Linked DNA regions of Styela clava. The protein of the gene in region 1 purifies or fractionates together with the protein of each later gene. This does not show direct contact. Links are inferred from orthologs where the notes say so. Each region holds a gene or a part of one and is shown in the gene's direction. Other genes may lie near its edges.

Region 1 (8,711 bases):
TAAACAAAATGGTCGCCGGATATTCTATTGAAATCTTTATAATATGGATAAGGTTCCGAAAATTTGTTTCATTTCTCGATATTTATTAAATATTTATATCACTAACCCTTACCACATCCAAAATATAATTCGCCGGATGAGAACAGAACAGGCCTAAGTCACAATTTTGAGTCTTGAGAAAAACGCAAAATCAATTTGGAATTTTTTTATTTTTGAATTTCTAGATATTCACACTTAGTAGAGACCTGAGTTCTGGTTATTTTAATGTGGATGTGAATATCTATGTAATCAATATTTTTTGGCACTTCAGCTTTAATTCCTTCCTGCTTTTTTAACCCCATAATGGACTTTGGCCCATTCTTTTTTTTTTTTTTTTTTTATTTTTTTTTATTTTATTTTTTTTTATTAATAAAAACATCACTTTTTATCCACACGATATAACACATAAACACAATTGCACTTTTAAAAAAATGAGTTCATGATAACTTTCCACTTCTTAATGTGGTTCGACAGTTTACATTTTCTAGTTGCAAAAATTTTTTCACAGTTAAATATACTTTTTATCATATATAAAAATTGATCAAATTGAGGCCTTTCATTACGTAGTTTACATTTATAGATATAATATCTTGCACTCAATAAAACACAGTTTATACCTTGGTTTTGCTCTACCCCCATTAAAATTTCTCTATATGTCAGATTAAGATTTAAACCATATTCAACAGTTAGCCATGCATTAACTATTTCCCAAAATTGTTGCACAAATTCACAGAAATAAAATAAATGTAACACGGTTTCAACATTCCTTTCACAAAATGTACATTTCGGACTTGATGTCTTATTTATCCTAAATAATAGGTCATTTGTAGGTACTGCTCGCAAAGCAAATTTAACATGGAAAGATCGAAGTCTCGATTCAATAGTGCAATAAAAAACTTTTTCATACTGCGTCAACCAATTATCCAAGTTCTTGCACAGTTCATTTGGCCATTTTTCTATTTTCTCCTTAGGCATCAAGATTTTTACATTACGAAGCTTGTCATATATGTATCTGGAAGTTTTATCGATGCTTCTAATATCTTCCAATAGACTAAGATGTGGATTGGCTTGAGGGGTTTTTACTAAATTGTTTTTCCATGCTTGGGGTATACATGATAAAACTTTTAAATATGATTGCATGTCATTATAAAAATCAGAAAAGCAATAATGATGAAAAATGATTGGAAACATTGCAATTTTGTGTTTTGAATCACAGATATCTTCAATAAAACAAATACTTTTTCTATTCCAATCTTCAATATATAACATTTTCCCTTTACTTGATATCTTTTTATTGAACCACAGTGGTTCATGCAAGTGACTTACATCAGTAACAACTTTAGATTTAAAAATATGCCAATAGTATAGAGTATCTCTTAAACATCTCGACTTAATGTTTTTAATAAATATTCCAAATGGATATACATTTCCATAGAACAAATTCATTCCTCCATATAAATTTAGGAAAAAAATTTCTATAGATTTCCACGAAGCATCAAATTCATCATTTACTAAAAATTTAACCCATCTTAATTTAAGACCAATGAAAAATGATTCAATATCTATCATATTAACCCCCCCCCCCCCTCCCCCTATAGGTGCAATTAACGTGTTACGTTTTATTCTCTCCCATTTTGAACCCCACAAAAATTAGGGATTTAATTACAGTAATTTTTCCAAGGAAATCAAGATTTTTTTTTGACCATAATTGTGCAATCATTTTCATTTTCTGGAGTTTTGGCAAAATATTCACAGTATAAAGGTCAGCATCATTTTCATATATAAAAATACCCAACAATTTAAAATCTTTTGGGTTCCACTCAAGTCCTCGATCTTTCATAGAACAATTTTGGCAATGATTGTTTCCCCCCAGGTACAAAGCTTGGCATTTGCTCATGTTAATTTTGCATCCAGACATGGCCCATTCTGTTCTCAACAACTTCTGAATTTTTTTGTATGGGATGCAAGGTAAAACAAGGTGACTTAGGCCTAAGTTGCACTGAAGAAATTTTTAGGGATGTAAGTTTCGGACATTTTATTCCTGATGTTCATGCCCATCGTATTGGAACTTAGGTCTATCTTTTTTCAGTAATTTGGGGTTTTGAGCCATGCTCTACAAGGTGGTGGTCTTAAAATTCTGAATTTTCATAATATTGAAAATTTTAGCTGGACTCAGGCCCACTGGACTTGTGTTCTTAACTTCTACAGTCCTAAGTTCAGCTAGAAATTTTATTATTGATAAATTCAGAATTTCAAGACCACCACCTTGTAGAGCATGGCTCAAAACCCCCAAATATTGAAAGAAGTGAATTTTGCAAAAATGTGACTTAGGCCCCTTCTGTTCTCATCCGGCGAATGGGCGTGATTGCTTAGTGTCTGAAGTAGTGGCTGAAGCGCTGTACTAAACTATATTGACGTCGCAGGTTAAAGATTTTAGGTTTAAATATTCACTACCTGATCCAGACTTTAATGAATTGGGTAGGTTATTCTGAAGAAGGAAGATTTCAACACCATTCTGTACGAATTATTCATTGCTTGGACAAAAATTTGTTCGGAGTAAAGACATGAAAACGCCTCATAAAAGAAGTGGTATATGGTTATGCGCGATATCTAGGGAAGGCATCAGATGATTTATATTTTAAAAAAACCCAAATGTGAATTCGAGAAATATGAGGTAATATCGAAATTATTTCCGTGCTAAGAAAAATAAATATGAAATAAGGTGCTAAATTTTTTCAGCTTTTTTTCGTGGTGCACAGTAGCGCCCCCGGTGGAACGGTTGTGATTGTTCGGTACTGAAAACTACATAAAGGTAGGCCCACAGTACTTAAGGTAGGATAATAAAATGCTTTAGTATTTGTAAATTCGGCGGTATTTAAGTATTCATTAGCATATTTAACAATTCTTATCGAGTATTAGGCGATCTAATCAGCCTCATAGTTTTTGAACATGAGAGGACCTAACAGCTAAACGCCATCGCATTGGGTAAGCCACCGCATCACCATGCAGATGCAGCTATTGGCTTCTGAATTCTCGATACAATAATTCCGTTGTGGCAAAGGAATTTATTTGGCAAAAAAAGACAGTGCTATTGCTTAATGTGGTGCTAATAAAATGTAGCTCATAAACCAGTTTGAATTTATAGATTAAAGCATCATTTGAGTGAGTATCAATGTAGACAATTCAAGATGTACGGTAAATATTATAAATTTTAACAGTCTGACAGTGTATAAATTAAAAAAAAATTTTAATTCACTAATTTATAATCGTCTCCATAATCAGCCTAATTAGAAAAATGATCTGTAACGTCATAAGACTGTGTAAAAATTTTGTAACTTAAAGTTTTCTAGTATACATCAGTACTAACTATTCAGAATAAAAAACGTTAGTAATTCGTAGATGCTTTAGTTTGATTTACAACCAATTGCTGGATTTTGGGATTGGATTCACCTGTGAGTTAGAAGTAAATTTCAAAATTGAGTTTTGATAATAAATTTTGAAGTTTAGATGCTATTCAAACCAATGATAACTTTCATTTTTTTTTTAAATATTCATATGGCATTTCTTATTTTTTCAGAGTTTATCCTTTAAATATTGGAGCCATGATGAAATGAGCAAAGAGCTTTTTTGAAGCTTAGGTTTTGGCGATAGACGTTAATAGTACTCTGTATAATAATAGATGTTTTAATTTTCAATGGAAAATCATAGGCAGGAATAATCTCATTTATATAGGGCATTGCCAATGCTTATAATTCTCGCTTCATTTAGATGAGTTTCTGTTACAATTGTATCAAAATAAACTAGCGTATAATCACTATTCAATATTTTTAATAAAATGATTGTCTTCTTGATTCCACTATTGCAAATGTTTCATTGTTTATTATTTGTTTCAATTTCACAATCTTAAATCGTCTAACTTCTGCATCATATAGTAGCGTAGCTATATAATATTATGGAAAATCCTAAGTGTGAATATGAGACAACAATACCGGTTTCTTGTGTACCAATGATACCAACGTTCAACACGTACTGTAAGCTTCTCATTGGCGCAGTTAATTCTCTGAAGCCGTTATGTGCGACAAGAACGCTGTTTGTAAATCCACATGGGCTGCCAATTAACAAAGTGGAAGTGTTCGGGTTTGTTACAGAGATTAAGAAGAAAGACGATTTTCTGAGATTTGAAATTCAAGATGGTACTGGACAGATTCATTGCATCTTAAGAAAAAATAGTTTCGGATCGTCAAAGCCAATTTCAACCGATACTGTCGGAGAAATATCAAAATGTGCATCTGAGAAATATTTGAAAGATCAAGAACTCAAAAGTCCACAAGATGTCTCAAAGAGCAATATACATATTTCCTTCATGAAATCTCTGCTTCAGTCGTTAAACGTGAATGATATAAATTTGGGAGATATGATCCTTCTAATGGGACATTTAGAATATGTGAAATGGTCTGCCAAAACACAAATAATTTGTGAAAAGATAAGTATCAATAAAAATACGAGCTCTTTTACTGAATATAGGGATTGGGTCACCAAGGCACTGTTTTTGTATGAAAAGGTTTATTCAAGAGAGAACGTATTACAGGAGGAAATATTCCAAGAATTTCTGCGAAGGGATTAAAAGATTTAGACTACAATAAAATTAATTGATATTTATTGACTTTGCTTTCTTTTTAATTTCAATATTTTTGCATCTTCAATTTACTAATTTTAAACTATAATTGCTAAACTCTGAAAAATGTTTTGAAAACTTTTTAAGTGAAAAGTAGGCAATTTAAAAATATACAGCTAAACTTCAAATTGATATCAATATGATGTATTGTCTGCTAATTTATGTGATCTCCACAAATCCAATTTCATAAAATTTTGTCTCATCTTTATAAGATTTGTGATTATTTGAATTAATGGGATATTTAAATTTTGAGATTCCATTGAAAAAAGAGTCATTTCCTAATTATTTTGCAGTGAGCTATAGAAATAGACATAAAAGATAGATCAAAAATATATGCTGATTAGGTAGTAGTTTCTCTTAAGCATGGTTTATTGTTGTGCAAGAAATTTTTGATAAATAATTATGAAATGAAGCCTTACCATAGATAATTTAGATCTTCAATGTGTAATATTTTACCTGAAGGTTACTTATTCAGATGTTCTTTTAACGTTCTGAACATCTATTTTTACAGATAACAATATTATATTTTAACTCTAATCAAAATATATGCTATGAGAAAGTTTCTGAACAGGATAATTTTATCAAATTTTACTCGGTGAAATAAAAATCAACGCTAAATCATGCCTGAAGAAACCAAAATAGTTTATTACATTGGCGATGAAGCGACGCCTTATTTGAGCAAAGTTACAATTCCACCTGAGCAGATCACACTCGGTAACTTCAAGGTGGCAATTAACAAGCCCAATTACAAGTATTTTTTCCGATCAACTGATGCCGACTTTGGGTAAGTGTTTAATTATGATTTTCTGTTTTGAAAGAAGTTCAAATAATTTAGGTTAACAGTGATCTACTAATATCAGTGTATTTATGTGAACTATTACATAATGATCAACTAGGATTCCTAAAAATTTGCCTAAATAAGAAGTTACAAATTACAAAGACATTGTATGCTAAATGTAGCTATATAAAATTTGATCAAATTGTGATTTTACCCTGAATTTTACCAAAAATGCAGTACTTCAGGTACTCCCGTAGTGTGTATACCAGGTCAAGGTTGAGCCATAATCTTATTCCTATTTTCCTTATTTTAGTTCTATTACAAGTTCGGGGACTGTCTGTGTTAGCCAAGCGAATATACTCCCTGTCCATAGGTTTCAGTCCTTTACACAACTTGATGTAAAGTAGGCGAACAAAATTAGTTACCTCAATATTGGTACACATACTTTCGGGACGCCAAATTTACTAAGAAGTTGCAAATTCCAATGACCTTGTATGCTTAATATAGCTATTTAAAATTTGACCAAATTGTGATTTCACCCAAAAACTGAATTTACCAAAATGCAGTAATTTCATTTATATTGAATTCTTAAAATGGAAGATTTTTGAATATTAGATTTTATTTTGAACTCGAAGTTCCTATGCATGGTTGATAACACTCATTCTTCAGTTTCTCCCTTGCTTCATTTGTTATTGTTTGTTTGGCCTCTGAGTAATCTATCCATTCTATGTCTGGTTTTATTACCCATCTCTCTCATTTGTGTGTTTTTACCGCAAACCTATTAAGGTTTACACATTGTAATTGTACACCTACTTTTGCTGATGAAGTAATGCTTGATAGATAGGTGGTCTGTTGGGGTCGCCCGTTGCCGACTTCCGACAATGTGTTCAGATTTTCTGTTGTAAGTGTTATATTTCTGAATCTAATGAAAATAAGAAGCTAGGCCATGTTCTTTTGTAATCACTCTTCTTTAGTTTTTTAGGAAGACTTGGACTAGTAAAAATCATACAAAGATGAATCACATAAAGGAAAAATTGGATTTATCAGATTTTGTATCAACTTATGAGCCTCAAATATAATTTATCGTACACTGATAACTTTTTTAGACATATAAATCACTGGTATGCTGTACTAACTCTTAATGTACTTATACAACCTAAAGAACGCATGTCAGTTTTATTTTTGATCAGAAGTGAAATTATTTAATATTCAAAAATGCTTCAAACCCTAATTCATTGACCATTATGGCAGTTCTTCTCTAAATATTCCAAATACCTCAGAATATTCCAACTTCTGATGTACTTACTTATACGACTCAAAGAACGCATATCAGTTTTAGTTTTGGTCAGAAATAAGAATAAACTTATTATTCATTATTTAAAAATATTTTCTAATTCAAATCCTAATTCATTGACCTGCAGGGCAGTAGATAGTATGACTGTATAGCCAGAAAGTTCATGTCAAAATTTTCTAGATAATATTAAATTGAATTTTGGACAACCATCCAGCCCACTTAAGATATATTAGTCTAGAAAGATATCATGAATAAATATTGAAGCCTATTAGTGGACAAAAGAATGGCCAGTTGAAATTATGACGCGCATAACGCTTTCATAAAAACCTTACATATAGTTTACTCCTCTCCTATAAAAACAGCTTTTGTAATAAGCTTTGTGAAAATATTATGATTATTTAGTTTCGTAGTCAAATAATATTCAATAGACTATTGGATAAGATAATGATCTATAACTGAAAATGTTCCGCGCTTATAGAGAAGTATTACTTTTGTTTAAATTTTTGATCCACATATCGACATTCAACATCACAAATTTATAAGAAGGTATTTAATGGGTTGAAACTGTTAATAATGAATCTCTTTTATAAATCTGTAATTTTATTTCGGTAGCTGAAATTTTGGGTATTATTCAATTTTTATTTATTCATCCATCATTCTGAACAATACACTACAGGCAACTATACACGGTGGACTAAAAGTATTTAAACAGTATTGATAAGTTGAATTGATTTGGCTTTTTAATAGAATTCGACACAATTCAATCGTGTCTGTATTCAAAAATTGGCGCTCCTGTAGTATGTGAACCAAGATGGCGAACACTTGAACATAGTATGTGTACCAGATTAGGGTTAGGACATAATTTTATTCCAATTTTCCTTATTTTAGTTCCATTACGAGTCGGGGACTAGCAAAGTTACTCCCGTAGTATTTGTACCTGAAATCATGGCCTAACCCTAATCTGGTCCGCCATCTTGGTTCACATACTGCGGGAGTACACAAAATTGACTAAATTAGGTGATGAAGTTATGAATATATTGAATTGATGAATATGAACCTCGGTCTCCAACTTTTACTTCAGATATTTAGTCATATATAATTTTTTATATCATAAATCTTGAAAAATTTATTCTATAAATGCAATAAAAATATAACATCATTTTGAATGTATTTTAAAGACACCCATAATGAGAACTGCCGGTATAAATTTGATTTGTAAATTGAGAACCGTTTAATTTGTGTGATACATACATATATATATGGGTCTTACATTACCAAATCTTGCATCTTACCAGTTAAGTTGTCAGTTGATTTTTCCTAATGTTAAAGTAATGCAGATGTTTCAACTCGTAAACTTTTAGCGCCATAGGCCACAGTCTTAATTAGTCCTGTTTATAAATATTCTTTGTAATATTGACACCCTTTGTTGTGGCATTTTTGTATCAATGCAGAGTTTAACACTCGCTCTGTCCCAAGAGATTACTAATATCATCTGTAATGTGAAATCCCAGCGTCTGGTTGTTATTGAAGCAAGAGTTTAATAATAAATAAATGATATATACAGGGTGTCCATAAAGTCCCTCTACAATTCCAATTTTGTTATGAAATCAAATCAGTTCTCAATATATCTTATTCTTTACCAGATTTTCAATCAGTAATTGTTCAAGTACTTTTACTTCATTTAATACATTTGTGAGGGCCAAACAATATCCCTTTGCAATTGTAAAAAGTTTTAAGATTTTATGTACATTTTATACTTTCTATAGTCTAGTGTTTTTGTTCTGTATGATACTTACATAAATATTAAAAACAGTTTGTTTGTTCTGCTTGTGCATGACCCCCATACTTTACATTTATTGCTTCTGAATCCGTATGTATGTTACGTTACTATGCTGTCTGGCATCATATGCCTCATACTCCAAGCC
Region 2 (8,696 bases), on another chromosome or scaffold:
TAATGACAATTCAAAGAACTCGTGAATAAAATATGAAATATCGGGCTCGGGCCTGCAAATCCAGTTAATTGGCCGGGGTCGGGTCTGGTTTAGTACTCACGGGCCTGGGTCGGGCTGGAATTTTTGGGCCCGTTCTTACCTCTAATTCCAATATATATCTGTATTTGGATTTTTTTGTGAATCTTTGCAATATACGAACATTTGGCATTCCATACATTGTGTGCTTTTTGACTCCTGAAGGAGTCCAGATCGGGGTTACGCTTCATAACGTGTGTCAATCCAATAATACGGGAGTCGAACCTGCAGATATGGCTACTCTTTCCCTATAAGCTACATGGTTTGAATAGTAAGTGGATGAAAGACAACTTTATTTTATTAATTTTATTGGACAACGTCTATTACAGTCAAAAAAGACTCGCTTTTAATGAGATCCTTGTTTCTGCTTTTTCTTGCTCAACTATGTAATATCGGGACTATATTTGAACACTTTCAGACGAGCACAAGTTTCCGAATGATCTTCCGTATGTCGGCTGCGATGGGGATAGAGAATGAACTTCATGTGCAAAAATATTTGTTCATACAAATAAGTGAACAGGCAAACTATTTATTAAAAAGTACAATGACATGTTATTCCATTTTTCATTATGTAATGCTAATTTGCCCCGGTTAAGTGCAGACATTTTTTCGCTTTCTCTTACACTTTGGATGAGTTAACAAAAATTGGATAAATACGTGTGCGTGCGCTCCAAATCACTTGGCGTGCCAAGGAAAACCCTCTCGCGTGCCATTTTGGCACGCGTTCCAGGAGTTGCCGACCCCTGGTATACAGCTATCATAGAAATAGTATACAGACGGGGTTGTTGACTGATATAGGATTGAATATTTTACATAATATTGTATTTATTATATATAAATGTGTTATTGTTTATTATTTTAAATGCTGTATGTATGAATCAATAAATTTATCTTACCTTTCTATGTCGTTTACTATCTGCTACGTAGTGTCTGCCTCCGTTGTTACGTGACAATAGAGGTAGACACTACTTGTTGCAATTTTGCAAGCTGCAGTTAAATTATCTGCCAAACCGAGTTTAGCGAACATGAGTGATTTTTTTTTTGGTATTTCAAGGGAAAATCAGGCAGAGTTGACGTTGCCTTTGTTTTTCAGACCTACATGTTTTCAAACTTTAAAAGGCAAAAAGTACGCGTTAACGATCACAAAATTCAGTTTTACTGTTATTTTTTGCGTCGTAACTTTTTTCCCTGATATTTTGGCGCGCACGAACGACCAAAAGTTTGAAGACGTAGCTAGAAGTAAAGTGTTGTTCATAAACTTTGTCCTAAGAATTATTGGAGTAGCCTAGACCTTTTTCATCGCTAATGAAAAAAAATTTAAAAAGTCATATTGACGAAAATATATTAATTTTATAGTGAAATCGGATCTGGACTAGATGATCTGCCGGCCGCTTTGAGGTTTATATATATATACAAAGATTAATGGCACAATGAATTCGATTTGTATCTGGGCATTTTAGGATATTTTGACTCGCTTGGTGTTTTATGATATTATTGCTTACGCTACTTTATTGTCAGGCTGGGGTGGGGGTGTTTACAAATTTAGAACATGATGTGAAATCTTGCAACTTTGAGAGCTTTGGATTTGCCCAGTCGCAGAAACCTATTGGTCTTGAAATTGAATAACGCTGGGCTTCAAATTCAAATTGGTATTCACATGTGGTATTTGTTCCCACCGGAAAGTTGAATAAACAGTATTAAGTCAGTTTTTAAACGGACGACAAAAGTATTTGAACAACAATACATTTCAATATTTTTTATGGTTATGAGCTGAAGACGGAGATAAATTGGAATTTCGCCAAACTTTGAGGGCGATAGTTGAATTATTGTTAAAATCATGTATGACCCAAAGTTTAGTGAAACGAATTGAGCTCAACCTATCCAAAATTAAGAAAGCGAGAACCTAAGAACGCTTTGTATGGGACCATAAACAGACGGCGTTCTGTGATATAGTAGTTGTATTTTTGACCTAGATGTGGAAATACCACTTGGACAAATCACAATTTTTACGCACATATAATCGTACACTGGCGTGTGAGCCAGTCTCTGGAAATGCCAATGCTATCACTTTTATTTGAGGGCTCAGTGAAGGAATGAATAATGAGAAGATGGAAGAATGTGTAGAGAAATCCCTGGTACACACGTATATATATATATATATATGAAATCAACAAGAAAAAAAACATTTCATTACATAATTTTTCACTAGGAACTGCTCTTTGCGACGCAATTTTCTTTTTCTGTGAGACACTGCATTCTTCGATATATGTAAAAATGTGTAAAATTTTGATAGCTGGATGGGGCAACAGGTCCGGCTATTTTTCACTTTACATCACTGTATATATTTCATGGTTATAGTTCCGTTTGTTTATACTCACCAGGTGCGCTAACGAACAGTGCCGGACAAAGATCATTTTTTCGAGTGCCGCAGCAGATGGTAATCGCTTTCATGCTGGGAAAGTCGTCGAAAGCGTCTGCGCGCGGTTATCGGATGTAAGTCTCGAGTAAATTGGTTATTTGATAAAAGCCAACACCCAGTTTAAAAAGTACGCGTTCGTCGCCTTGCATGTTAAAAGGATTCACCGATAAGAGGCTACATATAAAATTTACTAAATTAAATGTAGCTTAATCGAAATTATTTAATTTAGCGATAATAAGGTTTGAAGAAAGGTGTTAATTAGTCTGTTTGGGAAATCACTTCTCGCAGGAAAGATTGTGACTATAATTGGTTAACGTCGGCCAACTTTTCTTTTCGTGAAGCAATTTTACAAGTTTAGAACGTATAGTTAGTTTATGATTAGTTAAGCACGGTTGGATTATAGTAAGCGACATTCAGTTAACGGCGTAACCACGAAAGGTTACTTCCGTTGGTATTTCTTAAAGCTGTTAACTATATCGTCATTGAATCGGAATGCGAATTTGGCGTTGTGCAGCAATTAGTGATTGAGGTCGTTCGTTCTATATACTGACAGCCTATGGACCTCACTTTCGTAACAGCATGCGTTTTTGAAACGTGTTTTTATTTTTAGTCACATCTCGTAAAATTGTCGTTGAGCGGATATTATTACTGTATTACAGCATCAGTTTATTTTGAGCCGATATGGGAAAATTGGTTTTGAAGTGGTCAAGGCCTCTGGTATGCAAAGTTGCTTGCGAAGTTAAATTTGCCCATCCTTATATAAAACAATTATTAAATGACATTTTGCGGAAATTTTACAAAATACTTCATTTTTATATTCTTGATCGTATGATTTTTGACGGACGCCACTTCGGATAACATCAGAATATATGCTTCATAATCTTTATTCAGTCCAAGCGAGCCGGATTTGAAATTTGTTTTTCCAGTTGCCTATGTCTTTATCAGTTATTGGAAATTATAACGCCGACTCCTAAATATTTGATAGATTTGATTCTGGCGCCGGTATTTCTTATGTTAAAGCACAATGATTGGGTTTTATACTCTAATTTAGATGCACAATTGATGCTTCTTTGCCTTCGAAGTTATGGATCATTTAGTTAAAGTTACCGCTGAATTATCAGCCGAGATTTCGGAATATCATATATAGATGACCAAGCGAATGCGTGATTGATTGTTAGAATGATTTGTTAGAAAGAGGCATTGTCGCATCACATTTTAGTTAGTATTAAAATTACCGTATATTGATTTCACGCAGATTTAGCGAATGCCCATGGGATTATTTGAATCGTATTTTGTAACGCGAGTCTATTGTCTGTGTCATCGGGGAATGGCATCATAAAAATAATAAGGTAGTTATATTCTATTGTTCAGTGTTCGCACTCCCCAGCGGCTTTTGTTTGTGTTTTGTTAGTCGGCGATAGATGGCCTAATTTCGTATAAGAAGGAAACGAGCGGATTAATTCGAAGATGATCAAGCGCATCGTTTTAGAAGATTACTTTATTTGCCGAACCATTGCATTGTTTTTGAAAAGCGATCAAAACTTTTAATGATTTTCAGACGATGCCGCCAATGGATGCTCATTTTAGCTCGTTATTTCAATCCCGTAAGCACCCTACCAATATGAGAAGCTTCTCCTGCTCAATTTGCCACTTTGCGATAAGAATAGAAAAGAATATAAAACACTAACAACGCAACGTGATAAATTCATTCCTCTACCTTGTAAATTTCCAACATTTTTTCGGGGATGGGGTTAATTAGCCTGTTTATATGTGAAAATCTTGGCATTTAACGAGCTTTATTTAAAACCGCATGGCCCGGGATTTTCAAATCTTCTGATGGTATTGTTCGTTTTTGGTCGCAAATTTGAACAGGTTTACTAGCGTATTTATCAATGCTCGATTTATAATTCATTGTAAACGTTAGGGTACTTATTTCTTATCCCTTCTCGAGAGTGCCATTCATACGTTGTTAATATTTAACCATCCAAGAAAAAGTCGCACGCTTGTGTTATTTTGCGTCAGGCGTTATCTATCAGTTTGGACATCGTTTTTAATGTGGCGTGTTTACGCATGGTCGTTTATTGATAAAAGATGAGTCACAGTAGCCAGCCATATCAAGTCTTTTGTCGGCGGAGTTCCCACCTGGATGGGTCATTTATAATCAGTGTGATTTTGTAATCAGTTGTTTACAATGGATGTGTGTTACTGTTGGACCTGCAAGGTTTCTGATACTTTTTAAGCATTGTCTTTGGCCGTGTCAAAAAAGTGTAAATGTAATAATATGAATCATCAGGTTAATATAGTATTATATTATATATCCACTTTTAACTGGAGGTTGTAGTAGATACTCACATCATAAATGAAATTTCATCCCGTTTTTACATTTCTACCCAAAAGCATAGTTTTTCAGTTTAGTACATAGTTTCCCAATATTACAATTATTCCAGGTGAGGTGCCTGTTGAAAACTCGAAAATCCATATCTTCTGGGCAAAATATTGCAGTGGTGTCACAACAGGTCTACTGTAAGTTTCACATGTGGATCTGGTAGATATCACTACGACTTGCTGCCGATGTGTCTGATATTTTTATTCTGAGATTTATTGTGGATTATATATTCAAGCAGCTGTGTATTTGAAGGATTTATCCAAACATAAGAAAAATGGATCCTACTGATAATGAATCAAATTACTCAGAGCTGACAAACAGGTAATAGTTTATTGTAATTTGTAACTGTCGGAATTATCTTGATATTTAAACAAATTCAGTATTTTTTTATGTACTATAGCGAAAGTCATATGCATAGGCATAAGTGTGTTTTGTGGAGAATTTAAAATAAAAATGTGATTTGGGGATTTAGTCCACATATTATTGTAATGAATAAGGTACTCCCGTAGTATGTGTACCAGGTTAGGGTTAGGCCATAATTTCATTCTGATTTTCCCTATTTTAGTTATATTACGAGTTCGTGGACTATCTGTATTAGCCAAGTGAATATCCCCCTGCCCATAGGTTTCAGTCCCTTTATACAATTCAATGTAAAATAGGTGAACAAAATTAGTTATCTCCATATTGGTACACACACTTCTGGAGCGCCATAAAAAATCCTTGTCAAGGTTTCTAAGGTTAATTTGTGGCCTAGTTTGTGGGGCTCAATTTGTAGCAGACATTTATAGTTTTATACATCTAAATTTTAGATCTGAAAGATCAAAACATCGAAGACATCGTTCTCCTCATGATCGTTCTAACAAAAGACACAGGAGTCGAGGTAGCAACCACGAGCTTGATGACAGTGGAGGTTTGTGTGATGACACAGGTGGCAACTGACATGGCAAATAACATGCGAGCATGATGTCGTTTTGTTATTTTAATTTGAATAATTTCCCAATATCAATAAAAATATTTAATAACCTGAATAATTCTGCACGTCAATGCTTCTCATGGTAATACAGTCAATTTTGTTTTTGTTGACTATAATCCATAAAAATGAGGTTCTCATTTAAGATCTTTTCAACTAGAAACTATCTATTAATAGTTAGTTATCTGAATTGTTCACTTCAGTTACACCATTCAGTGACATACCCAAGAGCCAAAGTTTAGTTTTTCCATGCTTGGAACTCATATATACAGTAGTTAAATTGGATGGTTGCATAGTTTTCACAAGACACACACCTTTTGCATAGATGATTGACTAGTAGAATTTTTGAGCAAAATAAATAGTATAAATTCTAGGAAACTTGCATGTACCTATATTATTATAAAATAATATAATAAAGCTTTATTAACCCATGTTATGTCTTGACTTGAGAAAAGTAATACTGACATATAATTTTGAAAGAATGCTAGAGTTAAGAATAAAACTGATATTTTATTTTCCGAAATTACTTTATAGTGATTTACTGTTAGATGTCGAGTGACTTTTAAGCTGTCTGTTTATCCAATGCAACTTAAAATTAGGTTATTGCACAAATATAACATCATATTTTCAATAACTCAATCGTAATTCTTATAATATTTTGCACAAACTTGAATAATCAGACTCACAAAATATTGTATCACTCAAATATTACCTCAACGCGTTACAATAGTGGCATGTATGTCAATTTCCATTCAAAATGGAATAAGTTTCAAAAGCTTTGAATGTCTCATAAGTTGAAACCCATCAATATGCATTATTTGATTGTTTGTCAGGAATTTGACAATGGCATGTCATTGATTCGTAAATTCACGATTTAAATTTTTTTTCAAATCTCAAATAAAATATGCTTTGGGTGAAAAATATATGAACTATTTTCCCACTATATTATGAAGCTTATTGAATTGTATTATGATATTGAGGTATCAAATACAAAGAACCCATTGTCAGTTTGCATTTGTGCCACACACCAATCTCACAATGTCATGGTTTGTTTATTTGATTTGATTTTTTACAATGTGCACATGTTTTCCAATTTTATTTAGTCATAATTAAGGTAAAATCTTCCACTGCATTATGCATACAGAATTTATTGAACATTGCATGTTATTATATAAATTCACTTTCATTTGATCTCATGCTATGTATTATGATCAATTGGTGATCTTTATCAAGAAATCTTGAATCTCAACCTGTATAATTGGACAATTTGGACCTTTTAATATGTTTCATTATAATATGAGGTATGTAATGAATAACATAAACTAAAAATCTTATTTTTGTTATGCTTGGTTGTGCCAATCTGAATATTACTGTTTTAGTCATCAAAATCTCGATACAACAAAGTTATATTATAGAAAACTATCACTAATGGAATTTGCTCTTGGCTGTTTTCTAATGCTATTAAGAGCCACAAATCGGTTTAATTATGGTGCGGCTTAAGGAAATTGGCACTTAATTTACAACAATTTTACTCAAACAGGAGAAAAGATAGTCACAATTCGAACACCACCGCTAGACACTAGTCGCAATGAAAACAACAGATCAGAAGATGTTCATGTTGACATGCCTCAGGTATAGTATATTTTAATCTGAAGACGCATGTTTATTAATTATCACTCAAACAACATGAATGAATGGATAACATAGATTCTCCAACTGATGTCGGAAGGCTTTTTATTAGATATGATACAAACTTAGACCCTAAATTTGTGTTTGTTTCCATTCAACTAGAAATACCCCAATCAAATATACAAGTGAGTCTTACTTGTAATTATGAAATATGGGATGAAAACAAGTTTGCTACACTTCACCTTTGTATAGTCACCAATTATTATTATCTTTAATTCTGATTGCTGCAAAATTCAATACTGGCATAAGACATCTACCTAGTTGTTTTCTGTGGTTTGGACAGATTAGTATAAAATTTTCTGCAGTGTTTATTGCGGATGGGGTTTTGAATGTTTTCAGTAGGGTTAAATTTTGGTATTTGGATATGAAACAAAGTCTGGGAAAATTCATGTCTAGCATATGAACCGTTCTTTTCCCAATAGTTATTGATACATCTGAAGTGGGTGTTGGACAATGTTTTCATAGAGTATAGATTGCTAACAAAGACAGGATTAGAGCAACATATAATGTAAACTTTCTTTCTGTTTCTTTGTCACCAACAATATTTCTCGTCCCCTGAGGTGAGGATATTTATTTTTCCCTTGGTGGATTATCTATTGTTCGAATCCGTTGTAATATTTCAGTTTGTACAGTGGATCGTATCCTTCCTTTTTCCGTTTAACCATATAGGTAAATGTCATCTACAAGTGATTCTACAGTTTTTCAATTCTCGCAATGTAATCATTTCTAATTACCCCCATAATGTGCACTGTGCGCTTTAGAAGTTGGGACCTGAAGTAAAAACCCTAGCTGTATCCTGTGATGCTGAAGAAAAGTTAGCACGCTAAATATGTTACATTCCTTCGATCGTAAACTATTTTGTCATTGGAGCGTCGGCTGCGATGCGTAAACTCCTGTTTGTGGTTGTAAATATAAAGTTAAACTTTTGGGTTTCACCACCCGGTTTTGAGTGGAGAAGTATCAACTTTCAAGAAAAGCGTTAAAGGAATATTTATTAGTTGGTTAAAGACAAATCAACTATCTGACGATAAAGTTGCACAAAACATGCGATTTTGCGATTTTATAACGAAGCCCGGTTTAACTAAGAATTTTGTTAAATAAACACAAGCTTGTCAGAACCCGATAACTCCCATCACTGTGTTGACGTTATACACGGC

The links. Proteins that work in one complex are often made in the same cells at the same time.
Region 2: the proteins of segment polarity protein dishevelled homolog DVL-3-like (region 1) and vang-like protein 2 purify together in Drosophila melanogaster (affinity purification with western blotting; 3 studies listed by BioGRID). This does not show direct contact. The link is inferred for Styela clava from reciprocal best matches to the Drosophila melanogaster genes dsh and Vang.

Annotation. Positions count from the first base shown.
Region 1 is NC_135256.1:5,539,318-5,548,028, forward strand, and holds the start of segment polarity protein dishevelled homolog DVL-3-like, read left to right. Parts: upstream 1-5,221; 5' UTR 5,222-5,334; coding exon 5,335-5,498; intron 5,499-8,711.
Region 2 is NC_135253.1:1,170,529-1,179,224, forward strand, and holds the start of vang-like protein 2, read left to right. Parts: upstream 1-4,876; 5' UTR 4,877-5,154; coding exon 5,155-5,201; intron 5,202-5,689; coding exon 5,690-5,790; intron 5,791-7,390; coding exon 7,391-7,482; intron 7,483-8,696.